3 linked regions of the Stegostoma tigrinum genome follow. The protein of the gene in region 1 purifies or fractionates together with the protein of each later gene. This does not show direct contact. Links are inferred from orthologs where the notes say so. Each region holds a gene or a part of one and is shown on either strand. Other genes may lie near its edges. The genes, in order: fbxl17, zbtb18 and zbtb10.

Region 1 (7,430 bases):
AAGTGAACCTTCACTGAACTACTTCTAGTGCAATTCTATTCTTATTGATGTAATACAACCAAAAGCGTACACGGGACACCAGCTGCAGCAACGCTTCCTGACTTTTACATATACTTGTCTTGTAATAAAAACTAACATTCCATTTGCCTTCTTAATCATTTGCTTCACCTGCACACTAATACCATGCGATCACAGATCAAGATATCCAGATCCCTCTGATCTGTCAAGTTCTGTGGGCTCTCTTAAATGAAGTAATGTCTTTTATTTTTCCTGCCAAAGTGTACAATTTCACACTCTTCTACATTATATACCATCTGCCAAATATTTGCCTCTTCATTTCACTCATCATCCATTGTCATCTCTTTAAGTCCCCTTGACAAAATACTCTTGCCCATCTTTCTGTCAACAGAAAATTTGACTACAATGCAGTCAATACCTTCATCAAAGTCATTAACGTAGATTGTAAATAGTTGAGCAAATAAAAACCAAATGAAGATGCTGTGAAAAATTTCTGAGGAAGGGTCACTTGCGCTGCAATGTTAACTCTGATTTCTCGTCACAGATGCTGCCAGACCTGCTGAGCTTTTTCAGCAATTTCTGCTTTTGTATCTAATCTCTGTGGCACTCTGCCAGTTACGACCTGCCAAGAATGATCTATTTACCCTTGAACAATCCTCTGTGCATGCTAATCAATCATTCTGACCACCATGAGTTCTTATTTTGTGCAGTAAAATATGATTTGACATTTTTTGAGATCTAAGTACACGTCTTTAACGACAATGTTTGTTACTTCCCAAAAGGACTCTAATAAATTAGTTAAAGATGATTTCCCTGTAGACTCTGCTTGATTAACCTATACACAATTGTCCATAAAACACAGGAAACAGGAGGAGGCCCTTCAAGCTTGCTCCCCCATTCAATATGATCGTAGTTGATCATTCAATTTAGTATCTTCTTCCTGATTTTTCACCATACACTTTTATTCTTTTAGTTCTAAGAGCTATAACTAACTCTTTCTTCAAAACATTCTTAGTTCTTTACTGTTAGTTGCACTCCCTCAAAAGCCACAGCATCCCTCCTCAGATAAAGAGACCAAAACTGCACACAGATTAGAAGACAGGGAAAGCTCAGTTTGAAGGACCCCACTGCTACATATATTGAAAATCCACTTCAATGTATTTAACTAAATCTGCGTAAGGCTATTTGTCTAGCCAAAACTACCATATCTGATGGAAAAGACAGGGAACATATCTACCAACCAGTGACAGAATTTCATTCACAAGGCAACCTGACTAAGGAACTAACTACAATGCTCTAGAATAAAAAGGCTTTTTATCAAAAATTGGATTACAATGCATGTGGCAGAAGTTTGATTTGTTCTACAGTCATCCTGATTTAAAAGACTTTTCTCTCTTTGCCAGGAAAATGGTCAGTAGGTAACAAAATAAACGATCAAGACATATATGTTTTTTATTAAGAGCACAACACGTGCAAGAAATGAGCCTCTAATACTTGGGGACTTACATTTTAAATGTATGAAGAAAGCATAGTTGAGTTATTAATCCTGTTCACCTCACTATACACATCCACCACTGCAAAGTCAGCTCTGTCCACTTTGTTGAGAGTCATGTGATTTACTGGAGCAATTTAAGAGATCTTATGGATATCGCCAAACAAGGTTCAGACACTCAATGATTCAAATTTCTCCAAACCTTTTACAACAAGTTCACCATTTGCAGGAAGGTATCTTTATTTATCAAAGTGTCAGCAGCATCTTTAGAGACAAAAGCATCTTTATGTTTGCTTGCAATCCAAATCCGAATATGTTTTTACTTATTTTTGCGTTTGAGTAGGAAGTGACTTCTAGCAGCTAATATCTCATAGATCAATGTTTTCACACCACCTGTGCATAGACAGTTGCTTCGAAGTAATTGAAAGATCTGCAAAGAATGGCTTGTAATGTATTATGCACCTTGTAAACGACTGTCAGTATCTGACAGCGCCTCTCATCCACCTTCCTGCAAAAATGTCACCCCCTAATCCCAATTCCTGCTCCTGAGATGAGGCATTCCACTCCTGGACATGCCAGATATCCTCGTTTATCAAGGACTGCAACTTACCCCCCACTACGGTCAAGAACGCCATTGACCACATCTCTCACGTTTCCCGCAACCCATCCCTCACACCCCCTTCCCGCAATCACAACCAAAACAGAATCCCCCTCATCCTCACGTATCACCCCACCAATCTCCGGATCCAATGCATCATCCTCCAGCACTTCCGCCTGTGCAATCTGACCCCGCCACCAAAGAAATTTTTCCCTCCCAACCCTTATGTGCCTTCCAGAGGGACAACTCTCTCCGTGACTCCCTTGTCCGCTCCACACTCCCCACCAGCCCCACCAACCCAGCACTTTTCCCTGCAACCGCAGGAAGTGCTACATCTGCCCCTACACCTCCTGCCTCACTCCCATCCCAGGCCCCAAGAAAATCTTCCACATCAAACAGATGTTCACCTGCACATCTGCTAGTGTGGTATACTATATCCGCTGTTCCCGATGTGGCCTCCTTGACATTGGGGAAACCAAGCGGAGGCTTGGAGACCACTTTGTGGAACACCTAGACTCAGTTCACAACAAACAACTGCACCTGCCAGTTGCGAACCACTTCAACTCCCCCTCCCACTCCTTGGATGACATGTCCATCCTGGGCCTCATCCAGTGCCACAACGATGCCACCTTAAGGTTGCAGGAACAGCACCTCATATTTCACTTGGGAACCTTGTAGCCCAACGGTACCAGTGTGGACTTCACAAGCTTCAAAATCTCCCCACCCGTGAACGCATCCCAAAACTAGCCCAGCTTGTCCCCGCCTCCCTAACCTGTCCTTCCTCCCATGTGTCTGCTCCTCCCACTTCAATTCCCACTCCCACCTCCTACCAACCAGCTTCATCCCTGCATCCCTCACCTGTCCATCTTCCCCGGACTGACTAACTCCCACCCTAATTTCCCATCTACACTCACCTTTACTGGCTCCAACCCTGCCTCTTTGACCTGTCCGTCTCCTCTCCAACTATCTGATCCTTTAACCATCTTCCATCCGCTTTCCCTCTCTATTTATTTCAGAATCCCCCTCGCCTTCCCCTCCCCCATTTCTGAAGAAGGGTCCAGATCTGAAACGTCAGCTTTCCTGCTCCTGGGCGGCACGGTGACTCAGTGGTTAGCGCTGCAGCCTCACAGCGCCAGGGACCCGGGTTCAATTCTAGCCTCAGGGGACTGTCTGTGGGGATTTGCACATTCTCCCCGTGTCTGCGTGGGTTTCCTCTGGGTGCTCCGGTTTCCTCCCACAAACCAAAGATGTGCAGGCTATGTGGATCGGCCATGCTAAATTGCCCATAGTGTTCAGGGGTGTGTGGGTTATAGGGGGATGGGTCTAGGTGGGATGCTTCAAGGGGCGGTGTGGACTTGTGGGGCCGAAGGGCCTGTTTCCACACTGTAGGGAATCGAATCTAATCTAATCCTCTGATGCTGCTTGGCCTGCTGTGTTCATCCAGCTCCACACCTTGTTTATCTCAGATTCTGCAGCATCAGCAGTTCCTAATATCTCTGTCAGTATCTGACACTTCTATCATCTAGACAGTGAGTGATTACAAAACGATTAAGTTTAACATGGTCTGGGAGTTGAGCGCTCCCACAAAAGGGAATCCCAGGACGTACAATTTTTAAGAGATAAATTTTCTGGAAAATTAGAGAAGTTGAATAGGTATAAACAGGCAGAAAACGGCGGAAAATCTCAGCAGATCTGCCAGAATGTGTGGAGATAGAAAGAATTACTATTTCGAATCCACTCTGTTTCTTCTGAAGTTCCAGTATTTTGCTTTCATTCGACCACGAAAAGTTATGGGTGAATGATATATTTCAAGATGTCACGCTGAAAATACAGAAAGAAAACAATATCAGACGAAACAAATGTGACCGAAAACTAATGAACACAATAAATACAATACAAAAAGGGACAGATTCTGCAGAGAAAAAGGGATGAGAGTCACTGGAGTGATGAATATAAACGCAGAAACATATTAACAGGAGAAGGGAGAGCGATTGAGAACAAGGTCGGACAAAGATCTTGATCTAATTTTAGGAAACAAACAGCTGTCGGGTCCTCTCAGTCACCAGCTCGAAGATTCTCACCTGACAACAGCAGCAGCAGCAGGTCACCATTATTAAAGCTCTGTCCCACGGCAATGCTAACAATCGCCTCACGGTAGGTCCCCGCTCAGCGGTTGATCACTGCGCGGCTGGGATCTGATTAAAAGGCGGGATCACCGAGTGACGTTCGCTGATCGCCGCCAATGAGGCGCGCGGACGGTTTGAGCCGGCCTCTCAGTTGAAGAATGAGGCCTTGTACAGCCGGAAGGTCTGCATCAGTTTATATTCACTATTTTTTTTCCAATAAGTAGTAATTGTTTATATTTTCTAGGGGGAAAAAAAACACACACACAAGAATGATGACGTCTCTGTGTTTAAGTATGCAAACGTGTGAAGGCGGTAGGAAGGAATAGTCGCCGGTAGGCAGCACGCTTCTTCCTGTTATTTACAGTTTGCGAGACAAACACTGGGCAGCTGAGGCCTTGTTTGAAATGAGTATGTGTGAAGCTGCATATTGGAGCTGGAATTTAGGAAGTCGGAAATGCTGCTACAGTCCTAGTCTCACATTGGGACAGTAGAGGATGGAAACTCTTTACAGGAAGCAGTACAAGTGGTTTTGAGTACTGAAATATTATGGAGATATTAAAAATTGATCATGTTTTTAATCTCGCATTCAATTTACAGTCAATAATCAGATTGTTTTGTTAAACCCTTCACTTAATCTATAACCATTGTGATTTGAATAAAATGCCCTCTGACATTCTTCCGCAATATAAATAGCGAATAGGGAAAATGTACAAGATGTAAAGAAAACCTCAGGTCACGTTAAATCTATAATATAAATGCATTTTGAATTTTATTAAATACTAAAAGGACAATTTGAAATATTTTTTCAATGCATGTGTTTGTTCAATGCACAGTAGTTACATTTTCAATTCTGGTTTAATTACACTTACATGAAATGGTCCTGTTGGGTTATAATTAGTTTCCAATCTTGCATTTTTCATTATTATTTACAAGTGCAGTGATAGTAGCCCAGAGCTACATAAAGTGTAATGGTTTGGTTCTCCATGGATAAGAGGTTTTGTCTGAAGTTGCACTGACATTTCACCATGTACTATTCCATCTAAAATCAGTAATTTCACACAAGAAAGTGGAACTAAATTATTTTTATTTTGAAAGATTGTGCAATATCACAGGGCTTGAGTCAGTCAGGATTGTTGATTTTTTTTTGTGGTTAGAACTACCTTTAAAGTTTATAGATACATGTTTACACGGATGACTTCATGTAAATAATTCTATCAATGTCCTTTTTAAACAGTGATGTGATTAGTTCATAAGACTAATATTCTTGTAAATACAATTTATACAAGTGAATTATAAATTAAGAAAAACATCCAGAAACACTTCAGAGTTAAGGGACAAATTAGATGCAACATCAAGGGGGAGATATTTGGAAAGAGCATCAATCTGCTTGGTCCGATATGTTAAGTCTTGGCGGACGATACTGTATTTGTACAAATGAAGGAAGGGGATAGGCACCAAAAGGTATTATCAGAGGAACTGAGAATGGGGTGAGGTTCATAGATTGAATAAAATTGTTAAACTTAAATTATTGGGAGATGTAGAGTCAGTGTGTGTTGAGGATAGGTGTGTTGGTCATGGTGGATGATTGAGTACAAGTAGTGAATTTGTGGGTATGTGTTGATTTTAGAGATTTTTTTCTGGAATGGAAAGCTCACAATTAATTGAGTCTAGAGCTGATAAAGGCTTAAATCAAGGTTTCAATAGCAGATAAGTCTTAAGAAAGAGCAGTAGGTTGAGGCTTTTCTGCCCATTGAACCTACTATGCTACCTAGTATGAGTATGACTGATCTGATGAACCCACCTCCCTGCTTGCACCTGTTACCTTTTTTGAGTCTTTGTTAACAAAAATCTATCTCACTCAACCTTGAAAATGCACAATGACACGTTCTCCAGTATTCTGTGGAGGAGCATTCCAAAAAATATGATCTCTGCGAGAAGGAATTCCTCCTTTAGTTTTAATGGGAAATCTCTTATTTTTAAAGTCCGTCCCCTACTTCTAGTCTTCCCCACAAAAGGAGGCATTCTTCCAGCAGTAACAGCGTACATCCCCGTCAGAATCTTATGTTTAAATAATATTACCACTTATTCACTCCAATGACTATCAGCGCAATCGTTCATCCTTTCTCCATGAGTCAACCCATTCACCCCAGAAACCAGCCAAGTGAACTTTCTGTGAATTGCTTCTAATGCAAGGGAAACTCCTAGAGATAGGAAATAACTCACCACAGTACTTCAGCTTCAGACTCATCAATGCACTGTTGCAGTAAAATTCCTTCCTTTTACTATAAAATGTTGGTGGGTAAAGGCTGACATCAAATTTAACTTAATAATTACCTCTGCCGCTGAAGATGGGTGGAAGAGATGTTTTTGCTTTGTTTGCTAGTCTGTTTGTAAACAATATATGTCAGAAACTACTGAATGATTTTAACAAAACTTGATATACAGATAGAGTTAGCACAGGGAAGAGCTATTACATTCAGATGGGAGGAAAAGAAAACTGGTAACAGGAAGTTATTGGATATGGCTTTAAGCAAACATTTTGGATTAAGTAAGACCCAGATCTTTGCTGTGCAGCATTCTGTAGTGTTTCTCCATTTAAACAATGTTCTATTTCTCTTTTCTTCTGGCCAAAGTGAATAACCTCAAATTTTACTACATTATTCTCTAGCCAAATATTTTCCTAACTGATGTCATCAGTATATATATCCCTTTGCAGATCCTTTGTATCCTTTTCACAACTTATTCTGCTGCCTATCCTTTGCATTATCAGCAAATCTGCAGATAATATAGTTGACTTCATCATCCACTTCGTTAATACTCGTAAACAAACAGTTGAGTCCCACCTCTGATCCTTGCGACCCTCCAGCATGCCAGCCTGCAAGTGACTGCCATTTTTCAGAATCTATCTTTGTTAGCTAATATGCTGAAAACATTAATATATCATCCCAAGCAAAATGGATTTTTATCTTGTGGCAAGGTATTAAAATGATTTTGGTAAACCGTCATGTTTACTGGTGTCTGTTTTTCCACCTTGCTTAATACTCGGTGAAATTTTTCAAAGCGGTTGCATAAATTGTTCAGATGTTAACTTCCCTTTCACAAAGCCATGACATTCTACTCGATTTTCTATCTGTCCTGCGTCTATCTTAGTAATAGATTCTTGTATTTTAATATTGACAGATGTTGGATGCAACAC
Region 2 (6,959 bases), on another chromosome or scaffold:
GTGGTTCGCACTGCTGCCTCACAGTATCAGGGAGCCAGGTTTGATTCCAGCCTTGGTTGTGCAGAGTTTGCATATTCCCTGTGTGTATGCATGGGTTTCCACCGGGTGCTCTGGTTTCCTCACACAGTCCAAATTTGTGCAAGTTCGGTGGATTGGCCATGTTAAATTGCCCACAGTGTTCAAAGATGTGCAGGCTAGGTGAATTAGCCATGGTAGTTTGGGTTTGTGGGATAAGTCAGAGGGTTAGGTCTGGGTCTGTTCTTTGGAGGGTCGGTGCAGACTTGATGAGCTGAATAGCTTCTTTCTGCACTCTAATGATTCTGTGAATACAGGTTGCTGCTTTGATTAGCGCCTCTTTTAAATACAAAAGCAAATTACCATATATTTAGCTTCTTTCTTGTTTTATAGCCCATTCAATTATCTTTGTTAATTTCCAGTGGTGAGATTCATATTGCTCATTTGCCTTATAAGTCTCTCCACAACAAAATAAACGAAAGAAATGATACCAGGCGGTATGGTTGCCCATGACTTATAAATGCAAACAAAATGGCTTCATAAAATATCCTGGGCCTGTAAATTCAGCCTTCATTCTTTTCACTTTATCCGATGAAAGTTGGACTTGGCAGTAGCATTCCCCTGACTTCTCTTGCAGGAAAGTAAAAGGGCACAGCATTGCATCCTGGCACTAGCAGCTGGGAATAGCAACCGAGCAGGTCAGATTACTGTATGATAGGCAAAAGCCTTGAGGTAGGAGGAGAATGGAACTATGACTTCACTGATTAGGGTTTATGGATATGACAACGTGATGGTGGGGTGTGTGGTTCATGGAATAGTATAAATTAAATTCTGAACATGGTTTTATACATTGGTTTTGTTCAATTAGATTGTTTTGTTATTTGTTCATTTAAGTTATACTATTGAGCTTTTGGGATTTAAATAAAAACAGATTGAAACTTGTTAACAATTTCAAAATGCTTATATCTAGGCCTCAAATTATTAGGAAGTGTTATAATCATATTAGTGTATTTAAAATCATCATAACACATTTATTCAGAAATATTGGCACAATTTTCCTGAGCAGCACGGGCTTTTGTTTTTGTTTTGAGGTTTTCCACTACCTGAACTTTTTTTTAAAATCTAGCTAATGTCCTGCATTAAAACTTTCCACAAAATGTCCTTCACAGTATTTGACTTGTGAAAATAACTGTTTGTTGCATCAAGAAACAAATAAACTTAGGTTTATTTAGTATCTGTAGCCCACAGACGTGTAAGCAACTGCTGATCACTAAGACCAGGGATTTTGTGCACAGATAAGTTTGGCACAGATGGAAAGACAGCACAGTTGGCACAAATGGCACAGCTGGCATCAATGGCACTGATGCACAGCTAGTACCTTTGGCACAATTGACAGTGTCAGTGTAGTTGGCACAGCATGAACAGCTGGCACAGAAGTATTACAGCTGGCAGTATTGGCATAGTACAGTCTTTCTCCCCCCATCAATTCTTATACAACTTTGGTAAGGTTTGACTTCATATTGTTAGTACTTTGTGTTAAATAAACATGTCTGTTTAGTTTCATGCTTCCTAATTCTGCTATTTTTAAAGTATCTTTATTGTCCTTTATCTACAATCTCAAAAGCTATACATGCAAAGTCCCAAATTGCCTAGAATGTTAGTGTCCTGCAATTTTCATACATTTTTCCACCTTAGTGGAATTGGATATTTCCAATTTTCACATTTAGTACAGATTGTGATGATTTATTCATTTTCAACATGTATACATATTCAAATGAAAATGACAGAAAGCTTGCTAATTCCATCGATCAATTGCTTCCCAAAAGCCCCCCATTCCTTCAACTAAAAATTTAAATGTGATAACATCATATGAAATTTGTGTTAACCAGCTTGGAGGATGGGAGGCTTCAATTAGTAGCATCTGATGAGAACAGAAAAAAAAAGACTCTTGCATGCCAAACTCATGTTGCATAAATAAATGCCATTGAAAATTTTCATTGCCCTGAAATTAACTCTTAATTATTAAAGCAAATAGCAAGTGCAGGTTGGTCTGGAACACAAGCAGTCTAAAAATTGACTGTGGGTCACAAGTTAAAGACTGAGGTCTGTCTGTCCTAGTGCAGATTTGCCTCAGTTGGGTGAGTTTTGTTAATTCTCAGCTGGATTCATCCAACAGATTACTATTCTGAGAGGGGAACACAAAAGCTGGTTATTAGGCCTATTGCTTCAACTGTGTTGTTTGTTATCAATCCTGAATGTCATTGCCAGTGGCCCTGGTTAAATCTGCAACCAGGAAATTTAATCTAGTCGCCTTAATTGAATGAATTTCGCCATTATATCTGAGCTACAGAAATACTGCACACAGAGGGTGGTTATTTTAGACAGGGCAACTGGTGTCACCAAGACATAATTGTGCCTCCTGAACACCAGTAACAGTAATCTCAGAACAAATTTTAAAGCAAAGTCACGTTTAAAACCTGGGCAGTTTTGGAGTTCTAGTTGAAAGAGGCATATGCCGTCGACAAGGTTTGAAAATTTAGAGAAGTCTTTGAAGAAATATAATTTTTCGAAAGACAGGGTACATGAACTGCAAGCCTCCAGTACTGGATTGACCGACTTACATCTGTAAATATTTGACCCTATATTTTGAGTTTTGTTCTCCCTTTTATGTTAAAATATGAAATATTTTATATGCAATATTTCAACATATTCTGAAATCTTACCTCTGCAGGTTTACTTATAGTTTGCACATTATCATACGCAAACTTTTAAAGTTTTGACCTTTTAGTACTGAAAAGATTTTTTTTCAATTACGCTTCCGCTTTCACAAAACCTTGCCTTCAAAGCTTTTGCAACTCTTACTGGCTTTACAGATCGGGCTGGCGATTGCGCATCGGGAAGGTGATCACAACTTGATCCTCTTCCCCCGACGCCACGAGGACTACAACTCCCGAGATTCATTCCAGCCTCCTCCCCGCCCACCCTGCCACCACCTTCTCGCCAACGTCCGAAGACGCGCAAATTCCCCCTTTTGCTGGCTCACGGTTACTCCGAAGCAAACCCTGGGCTGAAAGCGGAAACCCCGCCTACTTTCCGACCCGATTGGCTGGCCGGATCCTGGACTTTCTGGGGGTTTTTTTTCGGAAGGTGGCCGGACCGATTCCCGGCGCTTTTTGTGGTCGGCCTAAGACTTCAATGAAGACATGATGTCAGCCACACTTCCTCTGTCAAGGTAGGTAATGAGCACGAAATAGCAACAGCTCTCTAACATCTGGGCGCACTTGTCCCCGGCGCCCTGTCTATCTATCTATGTATATGTCGATCTCTCTCATGAAGTCCTGAAAGTCATTGGCTCCTTCCTTCCAACACCCCCCCCCTCTCCTTCAGCAATCCCTCCCACCATCTCCTCCTACTTTGTACTCGCTATTCCCGCAGGCAGAAAAGTGCCCCCTTCTCTTTTTTTAATATATTGTTGCTTCCTGTGAGTATCTCAGAGAACCAGATCCTCCTGGATTTCCTCATTTTAAAACAACTCCGGCTTAGAGGAAGGGGAGGGGAGACACAGTGTTGCCAGAAGCGGCGCGGAGTTACAATGTTTCAAAAATGTTACTCTTCACTACCCCCCGCCCCGTCCGCCTTCCCGAGTTGTTGCGCCGCGTTGTTGCTGGTAACCATTCACACGCTGGCGGTGGAACGCCAGCCCAGATCGTTCCATCGGACCAGAGGCGGCGGCGGCGGCGGTGGTGGCGGCTGCAGCCTGTTGTTACTTTATTTTTTTTCTCCCCACACTATGTGTGTGTGTGTGTGTTGTGGTTTGACTGCCGTCACCATGCATTGAGGATCTCTGCTGCTGTTCTTGCTGCAGCAACATTTAACAGGTCGCCCTGTAGCGTTTTTTTCTCTCTCTCTCTCACACACACACACACACACACACACACACAGCGGCCGCAGTTTGTGTCATTTCAAGTGAAGTGAATATATTTGGAAACATAAATAAAATAAAGGGAAGGGCGAGCAGAAAGGGGGCTTAGGGCTGGGTGGTGAGAGAGACACTGTCTGGTACTTTATTTGGAGGGGGGATTTTTTTCCCCCTTTTTTGTAGCAGATAATGTATTCAAACGTGAGATTGGTGGCAGCAGCAGCAAACACGACACGAGTAACATATGGCATTAAAAAGCAGCACAGCTGGAGGTAGCATTTCCATTTGAAGTGATGTCAGAGCAGCTGACAGTCTGGCATTGCTGGGTTTTTTTGTGTGATCTTGCTCCGTGTGCCGGTATCATTCCTCTTCAGTCTGCTTTTTTAAACTTGACAGACCGGAGTCACAAAGATTTAGCGCACCCTTGAAGGTGTTCTTTTAGAGGGATTGGTCACGAGAAGTTGGTCTGTTTTTATTCCTGTTGCAGGTATGGGGGGGATTCTACCCTTTTTTTTGCAAACCCTGCTAGGAATTTTGTATGATATTATATGTGCTTGTTTAATTCAGAGTTGACAGATCATTGTTGAGTGCAAGCTAATTTTTTTCTTAAGAGTTGTGGTAATAGTGACTAATTTGGGATTCGCAGATTGCGACGCGTGGAATTGCCCAGACAGCTGTAATCGCACTCCATTCTTTAATCTCTTTATCTGGGCAGCAGCTGCCATATGGCCATAGTCATCTGTATCAGATGTTTATAAGCTTCGTTTTCGTCCTGTCTCTGTCCTTTTAGGCATCTAATTTGATCAACAGTACCTTACTGACTATCATGTAATCTTTATTTTTAGCCATTTTAAGGATTAGAGATGGGGACACAGGGCACTTAATGTGATTGAGTTTGAGTTTTGTGGCAGTTTGCGTGTTTTTTTTCTCCCTCTTGTACGCGCTAATAGAGCGAGAACAAAATAATTTCTTGTTAAAATATGTTTTCCATTGTGTTAACTTTTATCTGTAGCATGCAGTATGCTTTAGGGTTTTACTACTCCTGTTTTATCTATTTCTACAAATGTTAACAAACTTTGTCTGCTACAGGTTATGAAGACAGTATGGAGTTTCCAGACCACAGTAGACATTTGCTCCAGTGTCTGAGTGAGCAAAGGCATCAAGGTTTCCTTTGTGATTGCACTGTCTTGGTTGGAGATGCCCAGTTTCGAGCCCATCGTGCTGTGCTTGCTTCGTGCAGCATGTACTTCCACCTCTTTTACAAGGACCAGCTGGACAAAAGGGACATTGTTCATCTGAACAGCGACATTGTTACAGCCCCAGCTTTCGCTCTCCTCCTTGAATTCATGTATGAAGGGAAACTCCAGTTCAAAGATTTGCCTATTGAGGACGTACTTGCAGCTGCGAGTTACCTTCACATGTATGACATAGTGAAAGTCTGCAAAAAAAAGCTGAAGGAAAAATCAACTACAGAAGCGGACAGCACCAAGAAAGAAGAAGACGCTTCAAGCTGTTCTGATAAAGGAGAAATTTCTTCAGTGAGCAGTGCACATATAGTGGGGGATCTGGCAAGCGAGGAAGATGAAACTGAAGAGGAAAAATCAAGTGCTGTGTTGAGCAAAAGGGACATAGTTATTGAATCTGGGAACATGTGGATGAGATTGCCCTCTGACTCAGCAGGCATCACTCAGCCTGGCGTTGAGGTTGAGGCACATGCAGTAACAGCTGGAAAAACAGTGTCCAGTCCCTGCAGCTCAACAGGCCCTTTGTCCCAAAGGTCTGCCAACTCCATTAAGGATTCAGCAGATGTTGACTGTGTGCTGGATTTGTCTGTCAAGTCTGGACTGTCAGGGGGAGAAAATGTCAGCCACCCTTATGTCTCTCCACATGGGGACAGTTCCAGAAATAACTTGGTGCAGGTTAAAGTAGAAAAAGAAGTGTTTTCCGATGAAGAAGGCAGCAGCACTAATGATTTTGATATGGAACAAAGTAGCACAGTGAAAGACAGTGCAGGCACTATGAATAGGCTTTGTTACGATTCACTCCATATGTCCGCCAGAAGAGAAGCTTCTGTGTCAAGCGAGATGGACCGAGAGGATCGAGCCAGCGATGATGAGATGGTAACCCCAGAGAATGACGGAGCCCAGATGGATGCAGGCATGGACAGCAGCTTGCTCCCTTACTGTTCTAATATACTTGGCTCAGCCGGCCAAATCTTCATGTGTCCCCTCTGCAACAAAGTCTTTCCTAGCCCACACATTCTGCAGATCCATCTGAGCACGCACTTTCGAGAGCAGGATGGCCTCCGCAGCAAGCCTGCCACTGATGTAAATGTTCCCACCTGCTCGCTGTGTGGGAAGACTTTCTCGTGCATGTATACCTTAAAACGACACGAGCGAACTCATTCAGGTGAAAAGCCATACACTTGCACTCAATGTGGGAAGAGTTTCCAGTATTCGCACAACCTGAGCCGTCACGCAGTTGTTCACACCCGGGAAAAGCCTCATGCATGCAAGTGGTGTGAGCGCAGGTTCACGCAGTCGGGTGATCTGTACAGACACATTCGAAAATTTCACTGTGAGCTGATAAACACACTCTCTGTTAAAACGGAATCACTTAACTTGCCTGCGATGCGTGACTGGACCATAGAAGAGAGCTCGCAAGAACTCTGGAAATAAAGTCTACCTGTCAAGCAGTCTGAAAAATCAAGTTTCTGGTAATCTCTTCTACAGCCTTTTGGGTACTGAATTCTCTCCATACAATAATAGCCGTAAATACTGTTTGTCAGAGCACAATCTACAAAGTGAGATTGTGAATCATATTGCAACATAAGGTAAATAAGAATTAACTATTAAACGCAACACTTATTTAATAAATACTCTAATTTTCTTTTCAAATGCACTCCTGCAGCTGTTGAGTGCACTGCAAAGGATGCTGCTGTATAGTACGTGAAGTTTCGTTGTTGAAATTTTCAACAATGAACCACTAATTCATTAAGGTTTTCATTGATATGTGTTAATATTTT
Region 3 (7,691 bases), on another chromosome or scaffold:
CTAAGTCACTACTCACCACTTAGAATCTTAACATCTGAACTGTTATTTGATATACATCATGTTACTCAATAGTCATCGTAATGTATGTCATCTTTAAATAGTCATCTACTTCACCAGTACATCTAATAAATACTATCCTATTAAACTATATCCCAATTATATTTTCAGCTGCAGTGTTGCAAAAACAAACATGCATTGGAAGAAAACTGAAGCAACTGATCAAGGAATAAGACTTTCAGATAATCTAAGTAACTGACTGACAGTGGGCTCATCTGGGACAGATGCAATTACAGTAATTTGAGACAGTCAGTTCTTCTAGACTGGTACAATACCTTTCGCAAGGCAGCTGTGCCTTTTCAAATTACCCTCTCCACAATGCCGTGTTTGGGAGTTGTTAAAAAAAAGGCATGTCACAGCAAGAAACATGTTATAAAGAGGGTTTTACACAATTTGATGATTAGTATTTAAGATCCAGTAAAAAACGTTCCATCTTTTTTACAAAACTGGTCCAGTTATCAATGGATGCATGTGTAATTTTTCTCCAACATTAGTTTGAGCCCCGTGACACAATGAGCCATCAATACTACTGACAAACCTATGTTTGAACAGACTTGGCATTATTCGAAAAGATAACTGTTCAAACTGCTTCAAATCACTTTTGAATTCAATCAAATACAGTCCAATTTATGTACCATGATGAATAGATTATAGCCAACTAACATCTGAAACTTGCAATTTTACAGTCTTCAAGATATTAACTGGTACAGAATTTTCATGTCTCTATTACAGAGTTCGAATGAAGAATAAAACCATTAGTCATTGTCATATTTGCAAATTTTACCAGATAATTTGTAGCTCGAGAATGTTCTCCAAGAAGACACCAGTGTCTGATTGCTCATAATGTTTTGATCAGGAAGCAGAGGTTCATGTCACTAACGATCATATTTGATAAGTTTAATTTAGAACCTGCAGTGCAGAACCAAATCTGTTATGAACTTTTACTACCCTGAAGATTAAAATGGATTAGTTACATACTGAACCAAACTGTCATGCCAGTCATGTTGTCCCACTTTTCAAAATGGCATTTTGCAAAATCTTTATGAAGGGTTTACAGTTGACATACCAAATAGTGTACTGTCTCTACACAGCTTGCTACATATAAGCATTTTCAGTTTTTGTTCGATTTCCAGCATCTATATTTTCTTTATTTTTCCAAATTCTATTTTAATATATACCTTAACAGTTTTACACTATACAGCTATACAATCTCTCAAAATTCTAGAATTCTTTCTTGTAAATTAAGAAAGTGGAATGAATTTTTGTTTACCAAGCTGAAAAACGCAAGGCAAAATAAAATTCTCAAACCAGACAGCATCACGACTGTGCGAGGAAAACAAAACTTAGAAAAAAGTTGCCACTCACAAAGAAACTTTTTTTGTTGCGTGCATTTCTCGCCCGTTTCCAAATACAGCGTGCATTGGTCGGTAATGTGATCTCTCGCCGTGTTGTGTTCCGATTCAAGGGGCATAGTGCCATGTAAACAGGGTACAAGATCAAATTCCGTTCAAATCAATAAATCTAAACTGAATTCAATCTGTTGTGTACATGGATTAAGGAGTTTGGGGGATGGGACTGGGCGAGAGGGAAAGATAATTCTAAACCCTAACGTCAATATTAACTTCGAATAACCTGGAGAGCCATCAGCGCTCTCGGTCTGAAGTAAATGGAGTCACAGCAATCCGAATGAACGCAGAATCAGCAATGGCTACTTATTACCCTCCCCCACTTCGAGAGGAAGCCTTTTGCAGTATGATTTATAGTCACACTCACCTCCATGCAGGCCGCAGCGGATGGGTCATTCTGCCGGTGTTCAGTGTAAAGGTGATGCCGCAGCAGCGTGGTTCGCCTGTAATTGCGGCTTCCTTTCACGAACTTGTTGCGGTTATTGTTGCTCCCCACCCCGCTGTTGGCCCGCAGGCACCAGGAGCAGTACATAAGGCCCGTCTCCTGCTCGTACTGAAGCCACGGGAACTCCTGCAGCCACGATCTCTGGAAAGTGCGCTGCTGGGGCAGCAGGAAGGACTGCGGCCGGCCGAGTAGAGTCAGCCCGAATCCTCTCCGGCTGCAGCCGCCGCCGTTTTCCTCCTCATCCTCCTGGCCCACAGCTCCTTCGGCGGGCGACGCGGCTCGCTCCTTGTTGCCGGGCCCGTCCATCCCTTCCAGCTCCCCGTCTGCCGGTGGCGGCGGAGCCCCCGCCGCCTCCTCCTCCTCTTCCTCGGACTCGTTGCTGCTGATTGAGCCTCCGTCGACCACCCGCACCGAGGAGACCTCTTGCTCCGGGTACTCGTCATCCACCACCACCGTCTCGACCCAGTCCTCCTCGGCGGGGGGCGCAGCCGGGGGGACCTCGGCCTGGGCGCCGTCCAGCACAGGGAGGGCAGCCGATTTGGTCGGACTAACGGACGGGAAGGCCCCGTTCGAGGCCTCGCTGCTACTGCTGCCACCGTTGTTTTGGTGGTGGTGGTGGTGAGGCCCGAGCTCGGGGTCGATCCTGACGGCGGAGGCTCCGGTGCGGAAAGCCAGCGATCGCCTGTTCCTCTCGCCGGACATGGTGGATCAGGGAGGGGACGGGAGGGGTCGCTGATCCGAGCGTTGGCCGGAGGGGAGGGAAGGAGAGGAGGAGGGGGGTGGTGGAAGAGGAGGTTGCCTTTCCCGCGATAACCTCTTTATTTCCACCCCCCCAACCAGAGCCTCAATCTCCTCCTCCAAACTCCGGAGAGGTCGGATGAATTACGAACGGTATAAAGTTGCGAGCGGACAGGCCTGGTCCGAGAAGGTGCCGAACGGCGGTTTCTTCTACACCCCCAGCTCCTCCCAGATGTTGTTTTGTTCGGGGGTCCTACCCCCCCACCAACAACAACCACAACCGCCGCCACTTCCTCCTCGTGCACGGTCCAGGCTCCAAGCCGCTCGCGCTCCGCCAGCGCCAGCGGCTCCGAGTCCGCGAGACACGCAGCGGACGCCAACGGGCAAAGCTCCCAGAGTGCACCGCGCGCCGCCGCTGCTGCCACCACCGTCTCCCTCCCTCAGGGCCGGGCTCCGCTTCCAGGTCAAGCAGCCAATGGGGGGGAGGAGGCGGCGGTCACGGCCGTTTACTTCGATGTGGAATGCAAGTAGGTAAATCTCTTCTTCTCTATCAAGTTACCTCCATCCCTCATCTGTCTTAAGTCTGTAAATTTAATATTGTAGGTGTAAGAGAGGTCACTGGTGTTTTTTTTATTTTGACTCTTGTCCACCAAACTCCAATGTCTCGTTTTGTCGCCTTGATCTGCGACTAGGCAACGGAGCTGTGTCGGTGACTATGTACACACAGATATTTTTATAATCGAGAATCATTCCTCTTTTGAAATGAGGAAAAAGTTGACCGTGGCGGTACGGCTCGGCTTGCGATGAAGAAAAGTGGCCGTTCGGCCCGACGTCACAAACATCTGCATCTGTTCGGAAATGAAACCAAGAACCGGGAATACGAAAGATCCCAAAACAGAATATTTCTGCCGAAGTAACGAAGAAAGCACAAGTTCCTGTAGAGACTCAGCTGGTCTAGCAGTGTCCGTGGAGGGAGAGAAAGCGGAGTCATAATGTTTCAAGTGCTGTCAGCACTTAGTTCTGAAGAGAGATCACTGGACTCGAATCACTAACTCTGCTTTCTCTCTCTCCACAGTTGCTGCTAGATATGCTGAGTTTCTCAAGCAAATTCAGTTGCTTATTTTCAAATCCAATGTTTTCCCTCCCCTTGTGTGTGTTTGGCATTTCAAGCTCCTCTCAAAGTTTCCCAAATGTCTTGCAGGATTTTGCTCCTACCTGCCTTTTGGGTGGTGAGTTCCAAATACCTACTACCCTAATGGGCTAACCAATGTCCTGCACAGCTGCAACATGACATCCCAAATCCTATACACAATGCACTGACCCAAAAGAAGGTGTCTACCAAATTCCTTCTTCACCAGCCCAGCTACCTGTGACTCCACTTTGCAAGAATTATGAACCTGCACTCCAAGGTCTCTTTGTTGAGCAGTACTTCCCAACCATTAAGTGCAAAACTCATGCCCTGATTTGCCCTACCAAAATGTAGTACTTCACATTTATCTAAATTCAACTCCATTTGCCACTTCTCAGCCCATTGTCCCATCTAATTACAGTCCCATTGTACTCCATGGTAACATTCTTCACCGTTCACGATGCATCCAATTTTGGTGTCATCTGAAAGCATATCTCCTATATTCACATCCAAATCATTTATATACGTAACAAAAAGCAGTGGACCAAGCACTAATCCCTGCAGCACACTGCTGGTCACAGACCTCCAGCCTGAAAAGCAACCCTCCATCAAAATCCTTTGTCTTTGACTTTCAAGTCAATTTCGTATTGCAATGGCTAGTTCGCTCTGTGTTGCATGTAATGTAATCTTGTTAATTAGTTGACCTTGTCAAATGCCTTACCGAAGTCCACATAGGCAACATCCAATGCTCTGCCTTTATCAATGTTCTTCATCACTTCAAAAAACTTAATCAAGTTAGACACGGTTTCCCACACAAAACAACGTTGACTATCTCTAATCAGTCCTTTCCTTTCGAAATACATGTAATTCCTGTCCCTCAGATTCTCCTCCAACAATTTGGTCACCATTGATGTCAGGCTCACAGGTCTATAGTTCCCTTGATTTTCTTTACCACCTTTCTTATGATGGCATTTCTGAATTATTCAGTCGAAGGGAAATCTGCTCAAAAAATAAACTCAGTTGAAGAAAATCTAGCTAAGGACAAGCTGCCCATTGTTATCTCATTTTGCAAAATCCTCTTTATTGAGTTAGTAGTAAAGCGTATTTGTTCTTTTAAGGACAGATTGAAGAAACATCTCAAAATTGTATTTCCTGAGCAAACAGATTCTGCAAGACTTCAGGGCAACCCTGCAGAGCAACACACTCTACAACATTCTATGCTTTATTCTTCTGCCTTCAATTTATTGACCAACGTGCTTTTTTTTCATGAAGCAGCGATCTTGGATTTTTGTTTTCTTTCTGAAGTAAGTGTGTGTCTATGCACATATTTTGGGGATGTTTAGAGGGATAAGCATTTATACTTGTATGTTACTTACTGTGCGTGTCAACTGATGATTGAAATTTTTGATTAAATGTTCTTATGATAAACCAATAGTTGCCTTTTATGAGGAAATTATTTATAAATCTTGTTTAAAACCTGAGATATTTAATTGGTCACCATTCATGAATCCTCAGATAATGAAGCAGTTCATGTCCAAATGCAGCTAGACTTGGACAGTATTCAGGCTTGTGCTGCCAAGTGGCAAATAGTATTTGCTAGACATTGACAATATCCAGCAGGAGAGAATCTAACCATCACTCATTGACATTCAATGATGCTTCCATTCTCTGAATCCTCCATAACAACCATCGGCCAGAAACCAAATTGGACTAATCTCAAAAATATTGGAGCTACAATAGTAGATCAGTTGCAGGGAACAATTTACCTCCTGCCTCCCTTGAGCTTGTCCTACAAAACACCAGTAAGGAGTGTAGTGGAATACTCTCCACACAGATGGATGAGTGCAGCTCCAACAATGCTCAAGAAGCCTGACTCTATCGAGATGTAGCAATTTGCTTGATAGCATGATATAAACAGTCATTCAATCCACTGCCGATGCACAGTAGCAGCTGAGTGTATCATCTAAAAGGTGCACTCCAGAAATTCAGCAAGCATCCTTCGGTAGCATCTTTCTAAACCTATGAATGCTGCCACTGAGAATGACAAGGGTGCACATACAAAAGAACACCATCACCTGCAAAATCCTCTCAAAGCCACTCATCATCCTGATTTTAAAATGCCATTTCTTTAATGTGGCTGAGTCAAAATCCTGGAACTCCCTGACAGCACTGAGGGTTTACAAATAGACTGCAGCAGTTCGGAAGACACCTCAGCACGATCTTCTGAATTGCAATAAATGTCAGCCCAGACAGTGAAATACACATTTCCTGAATGAAAAAGTAAAAAAATCTCATTGCTTTGAAATGTATTTTTATTTTATGTTGTGACTCATGGAATATTAGAACTGGAGTGATTTAGCTGCCCTCAAGCTTCAGTTGGCACACTATATATCAAAAAATAATTAGTGTGTGAATTAGAAATTTAAATATCAGTCTATTTGGATTAATAAAGCTACCATCAGTCATATGTTAAACCAAGCCACTCTCATAACCTTCAGCTTTGAATTCTCTTTTTGCCCCCATATTCTACAGTGCACCATTACAGTGAAATAGGTTTGATATGGAAACCTGAACCATCCCTTCTTCACCGATGTACAATGGCAGCAATGTGTACCATCTACAAGTGCACAGCAGCAACTCACCCATCCTCTTTCAATAGCATATTCTACATCTAAGGCCTTGACCACTGAAAAGGACAAAAATAGTAGCTGTATGGGCACACCACCTGCAAGCTCCCATACCACACCACATGCCATCCTGATTTGGAACTATTCCTTTACTCTAACTGGGTTAACTGGCAAAGTCCTGAAACTCCCTTTCTAATTAGACTGTGTGTGCTGGGGCAAAGTCTTGAAACCCCATTTCTAATTAGACTGAGTGTGCCTCAGGACCTAGCCAGTAGGGTTCAAGATGCCTCAATAATTGGGATTTGGAGGTGAGTCACTTGTTCTCAGGGTGGAGGTTTGGGACTGCTGTGCTTGGGTTAGAACCACTATGTTCAGGTTGGAGATGGCATTACTGTGCTCATATTCAAAGAGCTGTGCCAGGAGCAGAGCTGGATGCGCATAATTTCTGCCCCTGGCCCTGGTGTACGTACACCCCAAAAGGAGTGCAGTAATTCATGACTGCAGCTCATGATGACCTTCTCAAGGGCAATTAGGAATGGAAAATTTGTGCTGGGCCCATTCTCATGAACTATATCATTGTTCCTCCACTGTTGCTAGATCAAAATCCTTCAACTGCTTCCTTGACAACATTGTAGATGTACCTAAACCAGGAACTTGGTATTATCACTGTACTGTCATCCCAGAAACCTAGGTAACCTGGGTTCGAAGCCCACCGTGGCAGATGGTGGAATTTGAATTCAATAAGTATCTGGAATCAAAAATGTCTAAAAATGACCATGAATCCACTGCTGATTGTCAGGAAAAATCCATCTGGTTCACTAATGTCCGTTAGGGAGGGAAACTGCCATCTTTACCTGGTTTTCCCTACATATGACTCCAGACCCAAAGCAATGTGGTTGAATCTTAGATAACAAGGTGTGGAGCTGGATGAACACAGCAGGCCAAGCAGCATCAGAGGAGTGGGAAAGCTGATGTTTCGGGCCTAGACCCTGCTTCAGAAATGGGGGAGGGGAAGGGGGTTCTGAAGTAAATAGGGAGAGAGGGGAAGGCAGATAGAAGATGGATAAAGGAGAAGGTAGGTGGAGAGGAGACAGACAGGTTAAAGGCCTGCTGTGTTCATCCAGCTCTACACCTTGTTATGTCAGATTCTGCAGCATCTGCAGTTCCTACTATCTCTGGTTGATTCTTAACTGTCTCTGGGTAATTGTGGATGGGCAATAAACGCTGCATAATCAGTGATGGCCTCATCCCGTGAATGAATAAAGGGGAAAAAAAGACAACTTATCAAC

The links.
Region 2: the proteins of fbxl17 (region 1) and zbtb18 purify together in Homo sapiens (co-immunoprecipitation; 3 studies listed by BioGRID and IntAct, with this or other methods). This does not show direct contact. The link is inferred for Stegostoma tigrinum from reciprocal best matches to the Homo sapiens genes FBXL17 and ZBTB18.
Region 3: the proteins of fbxl17 (region 1) and zbtb10 purify together in Homo sapiens (affinity purification with western blotting; 3 studies listed by BioGRID and IntAct, with this or other methods). This does not show direct contact. The link is inferred for Stegostoma tigrinum from reciprocal best matches to the Homo sapiens genes FBXL17 and ZBTB10.

Annotation. Positions count from the first base shown.
Region 1 is NC_081356.1:80,972,707-80,980,136, forward strand, and holds the start of fbxl17 (F-box/LRR-repeat protein 17), read left to right. Parts: upstream 1-4,344; 5' UTR 4,345-4,415; intron 4,416-4,422; exon of another isoform or gene 4,423-4,566; intron 4,567-7,430. UniProt on the Homo sapiens protein: Substrate-recognition component of the SCF(FBXL17) E3 ubiquitin ligase complex, a key component of a quality control pathway required to ensure functional dimerization of BTB domain-containing proteins (dimerization quality control, DQC).
Region 2 is NC_081362.1:84,554,515-84,561,473, forward strand, and holds the start of zbtb18 (zinc finger and BTB domain-containing protein 18), read left to right. Parts: upstream 1-3,957; 5' UTR 3,958-4,178; coding exon 4,179-4,206; intron 4,207-4,220; exon of another isoform or gene 4,221-4,421; intron 4,422-4,448; exon of another isoform or gene 4,449-4,762; intron 4,763-5,023; coding exon 5,024-6,612; 3' UTR 6,613-6,959.
Region 3 is NC_081358.1:21,938,076-21,945,766, forward strand, and holds the start of zbtb10 (zinc finger and BTB domain-containing protein 10), read right to left. Parts: upstream 2,786-7,691; 5' UTR 2,611-2,785; coding exon 1,831-2,610; intron 1-1,830. Other genes in the region: uncharacterized protein LOC125451549, read left to right, coding at 2,786-3,177, 4,899-5,079. UniProt on the Homo sapiens protein: May be involved in transcriptional regulation.